Tamandua tetradactyla: one gene and its partner. The protein of the gene in region 1 purifies or fractionates together with the protein of each later gene. This does not show direct contact. Links are inferred from orthologs where the notes say so. Each region holds a gene or a part of one and is shown on either strand. Other genes may lie near its edges.

Region 1 (8,020 bases):
ATGGCTATTTCATATAACCATTAGTTCAAGTACTTAGCTTAGAATTTCAGGAACTGTTAAAGAGATGATGTTTAATCTGTCCAGTATTTATTACAGATTTTGGCCTTAGCTTTTTAGGACAGTAACTGACCACATATTCATTATAATAAAATCTCAATTATACAGAGAATGCATTTTGCTTCAAGTTCTAAGCTTTTAAAAATGTTTAAGTCCTCTTTCCTTCTGTAATTAACATAATAATGGGAACATAAATGAAATTTTATTTGATGAATTAGGATCCTTTTGCATCTCACAAGGCATTCTGACCACCAATTCTAGCATCAAAAGATATAGAAAATAGGTTAAATGTGATCTGACTGCAGAATTTTCACATGGAAAGCTTTTCCTCTCCTCAAACTCTTGCTCTTATCTAAAATTAGCACGCAGAATTTTTACTGAGTGATCCATCAGCCAAATAACAATTATCTTAAGATTCTGCTGAATTTCAATAAACACACTTAGTAAGTCACACAAAACTTTGGAAATTAAAATGTTCACTTCAACATAAGAAAATTAAGTCCTTTATTATAAATAAAATAAATCATAGTAGAAAAGCAAACATCGTAACTTCAAATTAGTACTGCAGTATAGATAAGAGAAGTTAATTTAAAAGTCCAGAAATATGAACAGTAAAAGTAACTTACTTCCTCAGGGAATCTATAATATCCATAGAAAAGTGTTCATCCCAACCACAGTCCAGTAAAAATCTAAATTCATCAACTTGGAGAAGATAGCAAAGAGCTGATTCTTCTTGGACCCCAGAGAGGGTAGTTAATTTGATAATAGATGTCATTTTTTGTCCACTAGCAACAATCTAAAAGGTTCTTTTAAAAGAAAAAGAAACTAAAATTAAGCATAAGAATGCAACTGAATATATATAATAGACAGTGAACAAAAATTAGATCAGGTTTTTAAGTGCACAAAAATCCCATCAACATAGAAAACAAACATTTTAAAGTCCAATTGCCATCATTGCTAACTTTAAAATGCAAACATACCTTTGTTGATATGTTCTTTTTTGGCTCCTGGTGTGGTTTAGTGTAAATTAAGTGGACTTGGGAATCAGAGATACAGAGTTGAATTTACTCTGTTGTGGTTTAAGACAAGTTAATTAACCTTTTCTCACCTATATATTTGGTCTAAAAACCAGATAAGTAATGCATACGTAAAAGTAATGTTGGAAGCTTTGATATAATGTATGAAGAGCTAGAACAGAGACTAGATCATTTAAGCTAGACTCTAGATTCTAAAATCAATGCTTTAGATTTTAGAGCTCTATGCTGTCACTCCTAAGTGCAGGTTGGCACCATTCTATTTTAACACACGGCTTACACTTGATTTTAACAGTATCAGTACCCATTTAGTCTCCCAGACTAAAATTCTGGAATTGCTCTCCTATCATCAATTTGGTCATCACTAGTTGAATACTTGTTGACATTTCAGAAATGTTTTACATCCTTACTGTCCTACCTCAATCAAGACACTCATTACCTTACCTGAATGATTTTAATTTCCTCATCTAGTTTTCATGTTCCAAGTTGATCCTCGATAACAGCAGTCAGAAAGACCATCCTAAGAATCAAATATTCTCATGCCCCCACTTTGCACAAAATAACCAATGGCTTTCCTGTTGACTACTGAATGAAATGTAAACCCCTTAGTGGGAAATCAAGCCCCTTCACAAGTTTATCTCAATCTATCCTTTGCTTCACCTACAATCCCTGCCCTGTGTGCTTAAGCACATTTATTTTCTCACTCTCCCTATGTACACCAAAACTTCTCAAGTCTGCATCTGTGTATTTGTCACCTCTTCATGACCGCCTCTTGAGCTTAGCAAATTTCTTTTGACCTTTCATGACCCAGTTCAAATATTAACTCCTTTTAAAACTTTTTTCAGTGTCCCCAAAGCTAGTTATTTTTGCCTCGCACAAAGTGGGCACATACACACAGAAAACTGTTGACTAGAAATTGACAATATAAAAGCACGTATTATAGTTAATCTTTGTATGCCATTTCAAGACCAAACACAGTGCTCAAATTCCTTCAGGGCAGTGATTTTGACCAACACTACTTCATTTCAAATATTTGTCACAGTTACTGGCTCTCTCAGCAATGATCATGCTTGTTGATGACAAAGTAAAGAAAACTAGGCAAAATCTAGGTAAAAACGGAGTCTGGGAAAGCACTGGAACTAACTAGGTGCCAAAGTCTATTACTGACTAGTTTCAGGGGAGCAGAGGTTTCATAACAGAGCCAAAGGGGTTGTAAAATAAAAGCATTATAGAGTACGGGCAAGTGATAACTCGGGTTCGCCCGGTCACAGGCCAGACCTGCCAAGGTTTACATCCAGTCAGACCTCCGGTTTTCTGCAGAGCATATAAAATAGCATAAAGTCAAAGAGAATGAGATCTGGTGAAACTGCAGTGATGGTGGAAGGGCTTGGGGGCTAGGGAGACAGGACGCGGGGGCGGGGGGAGGAGAAAGACTTTTTTAACAAAGCGTGATAACATCCTAAAGGTCTTTGGAGTCAATTAACTACAAAGACGCCTACTTTGTGCCCAGTGCTTAGTAGATTCGCGGTCTTTCAACCGGTGTCGACGGGCGACTTCGGGCGAGGAGGCTAAAAGGGACATGGAGAAAAACGCAGCCAAGAGACGTAGGAACTAAAGCTGGAGTCAGATTAACTCCTCCAGTGCCAACAGAATGAAAGGGGAGAGGAATACAGCAAGGAGGAAAGGAGCATGGGAGTGAACCGTACAGATTGCCAAAAGAGCCAAGAATTTTAGACCCATGAAGAAGACGTTTTTCTTTCCCTCGCTGAGCATTTCGGCCAGGAACGACCAAGACCGGCACAACGAAACCCCAGAGCTTGTCCCCAGGAGAGGAGGCTGTGTCTGTGTTGGAGCCAGGCTCTTCCTGAACTCCTAGGAAGCCCCCTCCCCCATCCAGGGGCTCACTCTTTTCTTCCGCCCCCACTTGCCTCATCAGTCCTCCCCCAACGCCGTCCACTGCCCTTCCCAACCCCTCGTCGAGTCCCGGTTCAAGAGCGAGGAAAATTGACGTTCACTCAGCAGTACCCGCGACGATCGGCAGGCAGAAGACCCGCAGTGGAGGCCGCCATTTTGAAACTACAGGCGACCCGCCAAGGCGGAGAAGACCCAGGGTGATACCATCTTCTGGGGACAAGGAACACGAAGCTGAGGGAAGGAGATGGCATTTCCACGCACAAGTCTCCTCACCTTGGACTGACGTTTTATTTTAAAAACATTTATGTCGTTTTCGAGCTAAAACAAGAACGAGAAGATTCACATATTAAAAGAAAGACGTACGACTTCCCGGCGTCACCCCTCTCTTCCTGACGAGTCCCGAGGCCGCAGCTTCCGTCGGCGCCGGTGGCTGAGCTCACAGCTGTCCTTGGTCGTGGGGTCGTGGTTGGCTCCGCGGCGGCTGGTGAGTTCTGGGGTTCAGGGCGCTGAGGCCCGCCGGGTCAAGTTGTGCAGGCGGGTGTGGAGGTGGGGTACGGGGTTCATCTCTATAAAAGCCCTCGGCGGTGATGGATCTGGTGATAGATCGCCCCGGGGCTGAAGCGGCCGAACTTCCAGAGGCCTTCGAGCGTGGGAGCCGGGAAAGAGGAGAGGGAACTAGCGTTTTCTTCTGGTGGACTACTGGGTTCACCTTTCCCTCCTGGAACTGTCAGGAAAAGGTATCTGAGGCTGCCATAATTGCAAAAAGTCTTTCGAGATACCCGGTGACTGCCCCTCACCGGACTGGGAGGAAACCGAGACTCAGGAAGGGATGCATGGGGCTGCTTATCCGCGAGCATTTCAGATTCGTCCAAGATTCAGCATTCCGTGTCCTCATTAGTTAGGATTGGAAGCTAACTTCATTCTTCTAAATCTCAAGCCCTCCTGCGCCGACCGTTCCGCAAGATATGTACTCTTTTGCTTAAAAACAAGACAAAACAATACAATATTTTATTTGTGCATGGTTTTTAGGATGTGTATACCTCAAGGAGTTTGATCCTTCGTGCATCCAGCATTGTTTCTTTATAGGTTAAATCGGCATTTTTGGGACAGTGCATATAAAGAGCCATGGAGACCAATTAGAAAGAATTTTTTTAAGTATTTAAATATAATTATATCTTTCAAACGTGAACTCGGAGTGACTTACAAAAATAATAGCAGATATAAAGAATCGTTTTAGGACCTAACTGGAATAAATTGGGTTGAAGAATAAGTAATATTAGGGGAAAAAATATAAAGCCAATAGTGAGGTTAATATAAATGTTTACTATGGACTTACTATGAGAGGCAGTAAAGCACAAGAAAATTGCTCGGACCAGAGAGCCAGACTGCCTGGTTACTAATGCTATCTCTTCCGTTTACCATATCTTTGAAACTGGACAAATGACTTTATCATAATTATCCCTGGATTTCCGCATCTGAAAAAAAAAATGCATTGGGGATGTTATATTGGTTAACACATACATAGTGTTGTGAGGATTAAATTAATGGATGTTTATGAAAAGCAATAGGGTGCTGGATAAGAGGGTGCTATAAAAAACTCAGCTGTTGTTAGAGGACAGCAGAAACATTTCCGATCTTGATCAGTTAACATGATTCCTAGAGTCCATAAGGTAAAAACCTGTTCTCCCATTTCTGAAGTGAAAGCACAATCTTTCTTGAGGGTCCTCATGTAAAGAAGACATTAATGTATTGTACATTGGCCTTAATAGCATCTTTAAGGATAAATAAAAGGAGTTACATAGGCCTGTGTCTGACGTTATATCTTAATGTAGATATGTGACAGAATGGCAGGTTGCAAATTAGTAAAAGTGCATGTACATCTCTCTTGTGGACACCCATGTCTAGAGCAACTGGTCTTTACTCCTTCCTTAAGTGCCTCCTGCACACTCTTCTTTCATCCAAAACTTAGGCTCATTTGACTGAAGCCTGACCCTAGTCCTCACTGCCCTTTCTTATCAGATAAAACTCACCTATGTTTTGGGGCCAATGACTTATCCCCAAGAGCCTGAGAGCCCTTCTATCCTTCTGTCCATTCTCGGAAATCATTCTACCGCACTTCTTATATCCATAAATCTTTGTCCTCCCAGGTCACCCACTGTCAGTAAAAATACAGTGTAAGTTGTACCACTGCTTCCAAAGTCCACTAAATGATGGATTGTACAATGATAGTGTGAAATGCCTGTGGGACTAAGAGTTGTCATTTATTTCTTAGGGGTGGAATTATGCTTCTTGGTGTTGGTTGAGACCAGGTTTGGATTCTGATTCTACCTTTGCTTTTTATAAGAGCCTATATGCAGAAGTGTCTCTAATCTCTTCTGTTCAGGGTAGGGTTAGACAAAACCAACTCCTTAGCGCTGGCCTTGTTGGAAGAATGCCAACGCTAATGGCTCATAGCCCACAGGTGGCCATGGGATTATTTGAAACAGTCTTGGGCTTGGGGTCAGCAAGTATGTTTTTGTGGTTGGTTGTCAGCCAGACATAAGGTGGAACAGACATCTCCTAAGAAAGTTGAAGAGCCTGATACAGATGAAACAGAATAGATGGCTACTCAGCCTCTGTAAAGGCCTATACTATTTTTTAGTAATTTGCAGTTTATCACTTTCAAAGTTACTTTATATTACTTGATTAAGGTGGTACATGTTATCCCCATATTTGACTGTCTCAGAATTCATAAAGCATGTAAGTGTCTGAGACAGTAAGCAATTGGTAGGCACTTGGTCAGTAGTCACAAAAAGTACTTAAAGATCTAAATGTAAATAATGCTACTTAACAAAGGCACAAAGCTGAAAGAACCACCATCTTGTGGGAAATAAGATAGCATAGATATTGTCGAAGAACTATTTGCTTCAGTCATCCAGGAAATAATTAGAAATACACTTCGTATAATATATAGTGATTGTGTGACTTTTAACTTCATGGCCTGGTATATAAAGAGTGTTTGATTGAAGTTTAAGAAACGAAAGAATTAAAATTATTTAGAGGGCGGGCCACGGTAGCTCAGCAGGCAAGAATGCTTGCCTGCCATGCCAGAGGACCCGGGTTTGATTCCCAGTGCCTGCCCATGTAAAAAAAAAAAAAATTATTTAAAAACCACTCTTTTAGAAGAGAGAGGCAGGAATTTCAGCTATATTCCCCAGCACACTGAGTCCTAACCATTTTTTTGTTTGTTTTTGCTCAATCAAGTCTTTTTTATTGCAACTTATCTTAGTATATTCACACATGCAAAATTCAAGGTAGTATAATAGAAGGAATATTGTTAAAATGGAATGGAAATACATCTGTCCCAAATTTCCAGATTCTAAAGATTGTGGTAAAACTAGTGTTCTAGTTTGCTAGCTGCTGGAATGCAATATACCAGAAACAATGGCTTTTAAAAAGGGGAATTTAATAAGTTGCTAGTTTACAATTCTAAGGCCGAGAAAATGTCCCAATTAAAACAAGTCTATAGAAATGTCCAATCAAGGGCATCCAGGGAAAGATACCTTGGTTCAAGAAGGCCAGTGAAGTTCAGGGTTTCTCTCTCAAGTGAGACAGCACATGGCGAACACAGTCAGGGCTTCTCTCTTGGCTGAAAGGGCACATGGCGAATGCAGCATCATCTGCTAGCTTTGTCTCCTGGCTTCCTGTTTCATGAACCTCCCCGGGAGGTGTTGTCCTTCTTCATCTCGAAGGGTCGCTGGCTGGTGGACTCTGCTTGGTGGTGCTGCAGCATTCTCTGCTCTCTCTGAATTTCTCTGAATCTGTTTCTCCAAAATGTTTCCTCTTTTATAGGACTTCAGAAACTAATCAAGACCCACTCAAATGGGTGGAGACATGTCATCCCTTAATCCAGTTTAACAACCATTCTTGACTAAATCACATCAACCAGGGAGATGATCTCATTACAGTTTCAAACATACAGTATTGAATAGAGATTATTCTACCTTTATGAAATGGGATTTATATTAAAACATGGCTTTTCTTAAGGGGCATATATCCTTTCAAACCAGCACAACTAGGCTGTGTGTCCTTTCCATTTTTAAGTACCTTACTACACAACGGTTACTTGACCCTATATGGGAATGTGTTTTCAATTCAAGAGATAGTAATAAAGAGCCTACCTAATATATAAAGCAGAGATTCCAAATTCTAAATTAAGGTAATTGCATTGACACATTAGAGTTAATAAAATTTAGATTATATCTACACAGATTTGATGATATAAATATCTATACTGCAAAAATATTGGCATACGTGGAAAAATTTCCTCTTTACTGACTGAATAAGTAGGGCTCACTACTGAATCTTTTTTTTTCTTTTAACTTTTTTATTGTAAATATAACATATGTACAAAACAAAGAAATAAAAAAGCAACAGTTTTCAAAGCACACTTCAGCAAGTGGTTACAGGACAGATCCCAGAGTTTTTCATGGGCTACCGTATGATCATATTTTTCCTTCTAGCTGCTCCAGAATATAGAAGGCTTAAATATTTTTTTATCATCACAATCGACTTTTTTCCTTTTTTCCTGTGAAAAATAACATATACAAAAAAGTTATAAATTTCAAAGCACAGCACCACAATTAGTTGTAGAATATATTTCAGATTTTGACATGGGTTACAGTTCCACAATTTTAGGTTTTTACTTCTAGCTGTCATAAAATACTGGAGACTAAAAGAAATATCAATTTAATGATTCAGCATTCATATTCATTTGTTAAATCCCATCTTCTCTATAACTCCACCATCACCGTTGATCTTTCCATATCTCTCTTTAGGGGTGCTTGGACTATGGCAATTCTAAATATTTGGTATTGAAAGGGTCTGTCACTAAAGCGGAGTAGGGAGATGGAACTATCTGATGTTCTGGAGAGGCTGGTCTAAATTTCAGGACTTATCTGGACCAGGGACCCATCTGGAGGTTGTAGGTTTCTGGAAAGTTACTCTAGTGCCTGGAACCCTAGTGGAATCTTATA
Region 2 (7,879 bases), on another chromosome or scaffold:
TTGGATTAGGCTTAAGGCATGGCTTTTCTAAGGGACATAAATTCTTTCAAACTGGCACAGATGCCTATCCAGGAATTGCTGTCTCTCCTAATATTCCCTGAAGGATGAATGAGGAATTTCATTCTATGACTTTTTGAGGAGCTTTAAACATGGGTCAAACATGAAGTAATAGTCTTAGATGTTTGATCTCTGTCGTGGGGCACACCGAAAGAGAAACCACACAATTCAAAACTCCAAGCCAATTGGGAGTCTTTATTAGCCGGCCGGCGACTGCCTCAGAAACCGCCAAGAAAGAAGATTCAGAGAGCAGCCGCCCAGAGGTTTTCAAGGTGTGCTTATAAAGGCTAAAGTCATGTTGTGGTTTGCAGTTGCTGGCAAGGAAGTGTAATCACAGAAGCAGAAAAATGCCATTAGCTGTTGCCAAAATACATCCCGTGCCCTCAGTTTCCTAACATTGGTCATTGTTTAATTCTTGGGGACATTCCATCCCAGATCTTTGAGGACTTTTCCTGCTCGGGCCTGAATGATTGCTCCTGGCCCTCCACAATCTCCTCTACCCAGAAGAAAGAACCTGAGTCTCTGTACCCTCAAAATTTTGAAGTCTTTGCTTGTTTCTTTATCCAAGATTATCAATACCAAGACTGAGTAAGAATTCAGGACTTTTCCTCAAAACTTTATTCCAATGCCACACAAATCTTGTCTATGGTTTCCCAAATCCTTTCATTCTCCACTAAGTACCCATTCTCTTCTGCTCAAAGCCCCCAAATAACATCCATTCTATATATTTAGTCCCATTTATGTAGAAATGTATCTTTCTTAGTTTCCCTGTACCTCTTTATACTGCACTTGTACTGTTGTACTGAGGCTCAGTCATAATACTTACAATCACATCCAGTGTACTACCTTCAGTTTTCATTTTTCTATAACCTGGAGGCAAAAGAAATGCTGTCACTCAGGGAGCATCTTGATGAAGGGAGAAAACTCTCATAGACAGGCACTGAGGTCATGAGCACAAGGCCTGTAAGTGAACGAAAAATTAAAAAAGCAAAAGCCTGCAATATATCCTTTGCACACACCACCTCTTCTATAACTAAAAGAATGGGGTTGGTTACTGAAGAGAAAGAACCAATAGTCCATTCTTCACAGATGGCTGATAATAGCAGAACAAACCCTGCTCAAGTGTCTTGACCTTTCCTTGGATGGGTCTTTATTGTGAGCCACCAACCCACCATCACCAGGTCATATGCTCTAATCTCTTTCCCCAAAACAGTAATATGTTAAACTATCCATATTGTCATGCTGGGAGGCAATAGATACAGCAGTTAAACATTCAGTCTCTGGAGCCAGAGCAACTTGAGTTCAAATCATGCCTTAGCTACTTATTGTGGGACCTATTGCAAGTTGCTTAATCTTCTATAATTATAAATAGTCTATCAATAAAATGCTGTGATAGGCAGAATTCCAAGATGGTCCCCCAGAATTCCTGGCTCGCTGGTGTAAATGCTCTATAAAATTACTATGACTGCAAATACGAAGATTTTACTTTCCTGGTTAGGTTATGTTACATAGCACAGCTGACCTCAATACAGGGAGATTATCAAGGTGAGCCTGATCCTATCAAAAGCCCTTTCAAAGCAGAGTTTTCTCTGACTGGCCATAGAAGTCAGATTCAAAGTACTAAAAGGATTTGACAGCCATTGCTAGCTCTGAAATGCAGACGCTCACATACAAAGACCAAAAACAGGCTCTAGGAGCTAGCTGAGGCAGCATGGAAACAAGGACCTCAGTCCTACAACTACAAAGATTTGAATTCTGTGAACAACAAAGAGCTTGGAAGCTGATTCTTCCTGAGAGTTCAAATAAGAGCCCTACATCTTTTTTTGTTTTGTTTTGTTTTGTTGTTGCTGTGGTTTTATTAATAAAACCAATCAACATACAATATGAACATTCTGTTTTTCATCACATAGTTGTATATTCATCATTATGATCATTTCTCAGAACATTTGCATCACTTCAGAAAAAGAAATAAAAAGAAAACAAAGAAATTCATACATATCTTACCCCTTACCCCTTCCTTTCATTGATCACTAGCATTTCAATCTAAATATATTTTAACATTTGTTCCCCCTATTATTCATCTTTATTCCGTATGTTTTACTCATCTGTTGATAAGGTAGATAAAAGAAGCATCAGACACAAGGTTTTCACAATCACACAGTCACATTGCAAAAGCTATATCACTGTACAATCATCTTCAAGAAACATGGCTATTGGAACACAGCTCTACATTTTCAGGCAGTTTTCTCCAGCCTCTCTGTTACACCTTAACTAAAAAGGTGATATCTATTTAATGCATAAGAATAACCTCCAGGATAATATCTCGACTCTGTTTGTAATCTCTCAGCTGTTGATGCTTTATTTTGTCTCATTTCACTCTTCTCCCTTTTGGTCAAGAAGATTTTCTCAATCCCTTGATGCTGAGTTCCAGCTCATTCTAGGATTTCCGTCCCACGTTACCAGGAAGGTTTACACCCCTGGGAGTCATGTTCCACCTAGAGAGGAGGGGGGCAGTGAGCTTGCTTGTGGTGTTGGCTGAAAGAGGCCACAACTGAGCAACAAAAGAGGTTCTCTTGGGGGTGACTCTTAGGTTTAATTTTAAGTAGGCTTAGCCTATCCTTTGCGTGGTTAAGTTTCATATGAACAAACCCCAGGATTGGGGAGAGCCTTACATTTTGACTTCAACCTTCTGAGACCCTAAACAGCGAACCCAGTCAAGCCTAAACGGACTTCTAACATACAAAACTATGAGCTAACAAATGAGCGTTATTTTAAGCAGCTAAATTTGTGGTACTTTGTAACACAACAATAGAAAACCAATACAATAGAGACATAGCAAATGCTCAATAAATGTTCATTTTTTTACTACGGATTCATTGGGATCAGTCACAGAGCCGTGAGAAGACTAAAATGTAAGTTATCTATGCAAGACTGGCAATCCAGAGGCCATTTAGTCTCATATTGCTGATACTAACAAGGGTACTAAAATTGCACTGTTTCTCAAGCGGAGAAACGTTATTAGCATTTAGTGGAGAGAGGGATTCACTGTATAGAACTGCTCTGGATATTGCAATATATTTATGACCTCTGGCTGCTTTCTCCCTCCAAAAAAGCGTCCCCCCACTAACGGCAATAACTAAAAACATTCCCATACATTTCCAAATACCCTCCCCAACAAGGGATGGTTCTGGGTCTACTACTGCAGAAAATTTTATAACAAAGCACAACTGTCATAAATGTTGCCATAAAAGTAGTACCTCAATATACAATGTTGCACAAATTGTCTGACCCTAAGAATCACCCGGGGTACTTGTTTTAAAATAAGGTTCCTCCCTGTAATCTTATTCCACAGGTTTGGGGTGGAGCCCTAGGAATCTCTATTCTTAGTAAAGCACCCCAGGTAAATCTTTTTCATGGATGTTTGGGAAACACTAGATTAGAAATATATTCTGCCATAAATGCATTTTTCAAAACTTTAGCACACTAGGAAAATTGACTCACTCCAAGGCTCTTTAAATCTGTCTTTTACAGAGCTGTAAACCTAGTTTTGGATTATTCTATTACAAAGGTGTTCTCTTGGTCACACAAAATTGAAAATGGGACCCAAAGTTATGGAAGTGGGAGAACTCTTCCAAAACTTTCTAAATTTATCAGAATCGCTACTTGAAACGACGCGGTAAATGGTGTGAAGGCGCACTTTTCCAACTATTTCTCTTCCTTCAAGCAAGGACCTACACACATACACAAACACTCCTAATATATGTTATTAATTTTAAAAGCATATGTCTCAAATTCTGTAGATATTTTACCAGCTCTCCCTTCCTTTTCTGAGACAGAAAATTCATCAAAGCAATCTTGACTCCTTCCTTTTTTTCTCTCCTAACTCCATTCTCTTCAGTTACCCTCCTGTGGATTTCCTCCGACCCAGACAGGTTTTGTCTTCCTGTGGGGTGGCAACGACTAGTCCTGCAAGCCATATTTCAGGAGTTTTCGGGAACCAGAGATCAGCCAGTGATGTTTTCCGTTCTGTTTCCAAAACTCTACTGCCAAAGTCCTTCGCCTGCCCCCACCCCCCATCAAGCACGTGGAGCTACGAGAGCGCAGACTGTTCTCACTTCACCTTCCCATCTCCTGATCTATCCTGGTGCCCTGACGGTGAATGCCCTTGATTCTCATTTTCTTGCCGGACAAAACTATCTCTCCTCACCTCACTGCAGATACAGCTTCAGCAAAATCACAGTGTGCCTGCCGCTGAGGCGGGAGCAAACATTTCCTTCTCTCAATCAGGCGGAACTAAAATGAAATTTCCCTGGTATTGGCAAAGGACTTCCCTGACACCGTGGTAAAGCCGCTGACGCCATTTTTATTGCGGGCAAAGATTACTTGCGTCAGCGAAGGAGAAAATTAATAATAACAGGAACTTCTACGAACTAAAAGCCTTCAAATTAGCCTGGATCCGGCTCAGAAGGGAGTTATTACTAGGCGACAGTCTTCGCGGAGGGAGTTTTGCTCTTGTAGGCTTAACACGCTCCTACGGCGACGAAACGTCGCACAGGGAAGGGATCTTGCCTGCATCCGGCCTAGGCGCTTCCGGTTCTTGCGCCGTACGGAAGCATAGTCAACTCTGAGTTCACGCGCCGTACGGAAGTGTGCTGCAGCGCACCGGAAGCCGCCGGAAGAGAGCCATGGCGGGTTTGACTGTACGAGATCCTGCGGTGGACCGTTCGCTACGTTCTGTGTTTGGTGAGGGAATTCATTGGAGCCAGGCATCGGGGAGGTGCAGAAAGTGGCAGAGGGCGGCGAGGAACACCCCCAGCACCTCATGAATCGCCGCAAGAGCCGGTGATGGGTCGGTCATAGAGCTCCACCTGTCCCTGTGGGACGGCAAACCTGGTGGACTCGTGGGCAGAGATGCTCCTCTTTCCCCGAGGTCCCGCAACCTTTCTGCGATGTTGTTAGATGAGCGTTGAGCTTCTGTGCGTTTCTCCTTTAATGAACTTAAATTATTTATCTAGAAGCGAGGATGCATAGCGACAGTCTCATTGTCCAATACTACTTCTCATCCCCTATCCCAGAATACACATTACATGCTGAGTGGTATCCCTATGTCCACTTCCCGCCTTCTCATAAGGGCTTTCATCCTCCGCTTCTAACGATAACATTTTAGTTCATCGATGGTGGTAGCGGCCACCTGGCGTCTTGAGGCGGACTATAAATGAATGAATGAACGAGTAAGAGCTCAAAGAGGATCGAATGTATTCTGAGAAATTTTTTCGGCCGAAATAAGTCTTTCTTCAAAGTTATGAGTGGTGATTTTAAAGCACCTTTTGAAAGAGTGGCGAAACAGTTCAGAATAATGTTTAAACATTTTTGGTCATTCTCCCGTGTGTTTATGAATGTGGAAATACGAACAGTTGAGCCTGTTTGAAAAAATATAATATTGATATTTTTAGTAGCTATTGGGTGGGGGATCAGATTGCAGACCTTCAGGTAAACACTTATGCTAAGTATTTTCACCAAAGTTAAGGAAATTTTAAAACTTGTCAGATCAGTTAGAACTAATACTTAGGAGTACCTACACCTTTTGTATTTAGTGTCCTTAGCGATTTTTTTTACCTTGTCAAGAGTACGTGGTACTGGAATTTGGGGAACACTGTATTCATTGAAGTAGATTCTTTATAGTGTTTACTTTCTCACTAACTATCATGGTTACAAAGATAGAATTTTAATCTTTCTTTCTTAGTGGGAAACATTCCTTATGAAGCCACTGAAGAGCAGTTAAAGGACATCTTTTCTGAGGTTGGACCTGTTGTTAGTTTCAGGTGAGGGCCCCTTTTATTTCTTGGTGGGAAGGTTCTTAAAAATTGCCACAAATTTCACCCTTAGAAAAAATGGCAAGTTGTTTTACTGGTGACTTTTCATGTGTATTTTTTCTGTTAACAGCTTTATTGATATAATTAATATACCATGTAATTTGATGCATGCTTTCCTAAAAGATATGTGTATTTTTTAATTTAAAAAGAAAGTTAAAAAAGATTTCAGTGAAGCAAAGTCAGAATTATTAAATTTTATCCTTTAGTGAGCCAAATTAGAACATGAAAATGTTAGCAAGAACCCTGTATGTGTACATAACATGTGTGTTCAATACTTGGTTCTGCTCTCTAGGTTGGTATATGATAGGGAAACAGGAAAACCAAAGGGTTATGGCTTCTGTGAATACCAAGACCAGGAGACAGCCCTTAGTGCGATGCGGAACCTGAATGGACGTGAGTTCAGTGGAAGAGCACTTCGAGTGGACAATGCTGCTAGTGAGAAGAACAAGGAAGAGCTAAAGAGTGAGTATAAACCCAAGTTGTATGCAGGATGAGTTTATAAGATATTACAATGAAGATTTTTCTGTTTATGGTATATTCTAGAATATGCTGAAATGGTTAGCCACACAGTTTCTTTACTTGATCAATCTGAGATACCTAAATTAGGGATGTGTGTATCTTTGAGAAACAAGCTAAAGTTGACTTTGGAAGTCCTTCAGTTGCCAAGGAGTTGATTTCCAGTTGAAGATGAATTTAATTCAGGCACACTAAGCCATCAGTAGTGCTAACCATGTTGTTAGTGCTTGCTACTCCTTATTACCATGTTGCCAAATCTGTAATTGATGGGGTACTAAGGCATTTTTATGGCTTTTTTCATGAAGTGATAGATGCAGAAATTCCATTTTGAAATGAGCATCTTTTTCTGTTTAAACCTTTTGCCTCTGAAATGTTCTGTCAAAAGAAGTTGATATGCCTAGGTTCCTAACCTAGGTTAACATTGTCTGTCTTTGTGATCCTGTTCTCAGCTTTCCTCTGAGAGCAGAAAATACACTTTGTCACTTTCTCCATAGAAATAAGAGACTTGCAAATTAACTATTTCTCAGCTCTAGAGAATGTTAAAGTTATTGAATAGTCCTTACAGCAGCCCTGGAATGTAGATATTTGAAATGATTTAGCCCTTTATTTTGTCTCTTTAACTTTCTCCTTGTACTTTCTTCCTCATCAGGCCTTGGCACTGGTGCTCCTGTCATTGAGTCACCTTATGGAGAGACCATCAGTCCTGAAGATGCTCCTGAGTCCATTAGCAAAGCAGTTGCCAGTCTTCCACCAGAACAGATGTTTGAGCTGATGAAACAAATGAAGGTGGGAGGAGGCAATAGGTTATGAATAAATCAGATCCTCTCAGATTTTTAAGGAGTAATTAATAAACTTAGTGGAAATGATTCCCACATCTTAAAAGAATATAACTTATGAGAAGAGCTTAATTGAACACCGTAAGTACATGGAACCTTGAGTAGGGCATGACATTTTGTAGGTTTGTCCAGAGTGATGCCCCGATAAAGCCCAGAGTGATTTGAACAGTGAATAAAGAAGTATTTGCCAAGTCCCCTTGGGGGAATGGTGAGAAAGGGGGAAAATTCAACTTCCCCAAGTGGAGAATTCTTAATATTCTCACAAGCAGTGAGGACAACCAAAGCAATAGGCTGAGCCCCCAATCTTGGGGTTTGTTCGTATGAAATTTAACCCCGCAAAGGATAGGCTAAGCCTACTTAAAATTAGGCCTAAGAGTCACCCCCAAGAGAACCTCTTCCGTTGCTCAGATGTGGCCTCTCTCTCTCAGCCAACACGACAAGCAAGCTTACTGCCCTCCCTCTCTCTACATGGGACATGACTCCCAGGGGTGTAAACCTTCCTGGCAAAATGGGACAGAAATCCTAGAATGAGCTGGGACTCAGCATCAGGGGATTGAGAAAACCTCCTAGACCAAAAGGGGGAAGAGAGAAATGAGA

Evidence for each region.
Region 2: the proteins of CPSF2 (region 1) and CSTF2 purify together in Homo sapiens (affinity purification with western blotting; 3 studies listed by BioGRID and IntAct, with this or other methods). This does not show direct contact. The link is inferred for Tamandua tetradactyla from reciprocal best matches to the Homo sapiens genes CPSF2 and CSTF2.

Annotation. Positions count from the first base shown.
Region 1 is NC_135338.1:52,975,195-52,983,214, reverse strand, and holds the start of CPSF2 (cleavage and polyadenylation specificity factor subunit 2), read right to left. Parts: upstream 3,195-8,020; 5' UTR 3,020-3,194; intron 2,423-3,019; exon of another isoform or gene 1,166-2,422; intron 1,154-1,165; exon of another isoform or gene 1,038-1,153; intron 864-1,037; 5' UTR 833-863; coding exon 684-832; intron 1-683. UniProt on the Homo sapiens protein: Component of the cleavage and polyadenylation specificity factor (CPSF) complex that play a key role in pre-mRNA 3'-end formation, recognizing the AAUAAA signal sequence and interacting with poly(A) polymerase and other factors to bring about cleavage and poly(A) addition.
Region 2 is NC_135353.1:72,974,808-72,982,686, reverse strand, and holds the start of CSTF2 (cleavage stimulation factor subunit 2), read left to right. Parts: upstream 1-4,672; 5' UTR 4,673-4,742; coding exon 4,743-4,800; intron 4,801-5,800; coding exon 5,801-5,879; intron 5,880-6,222; coding exon 6,223-6,392; intron 6,393-7,095; coding exon 7,096-7,232; intron 7,233-7,879. UniProt on the Homo sapiens protein: One of the multiple factors required for polyadenylation and 3'-end cleavage of mammalian pre-mRNAs. This subunit is directly involved in the binding to pre-mRNAs.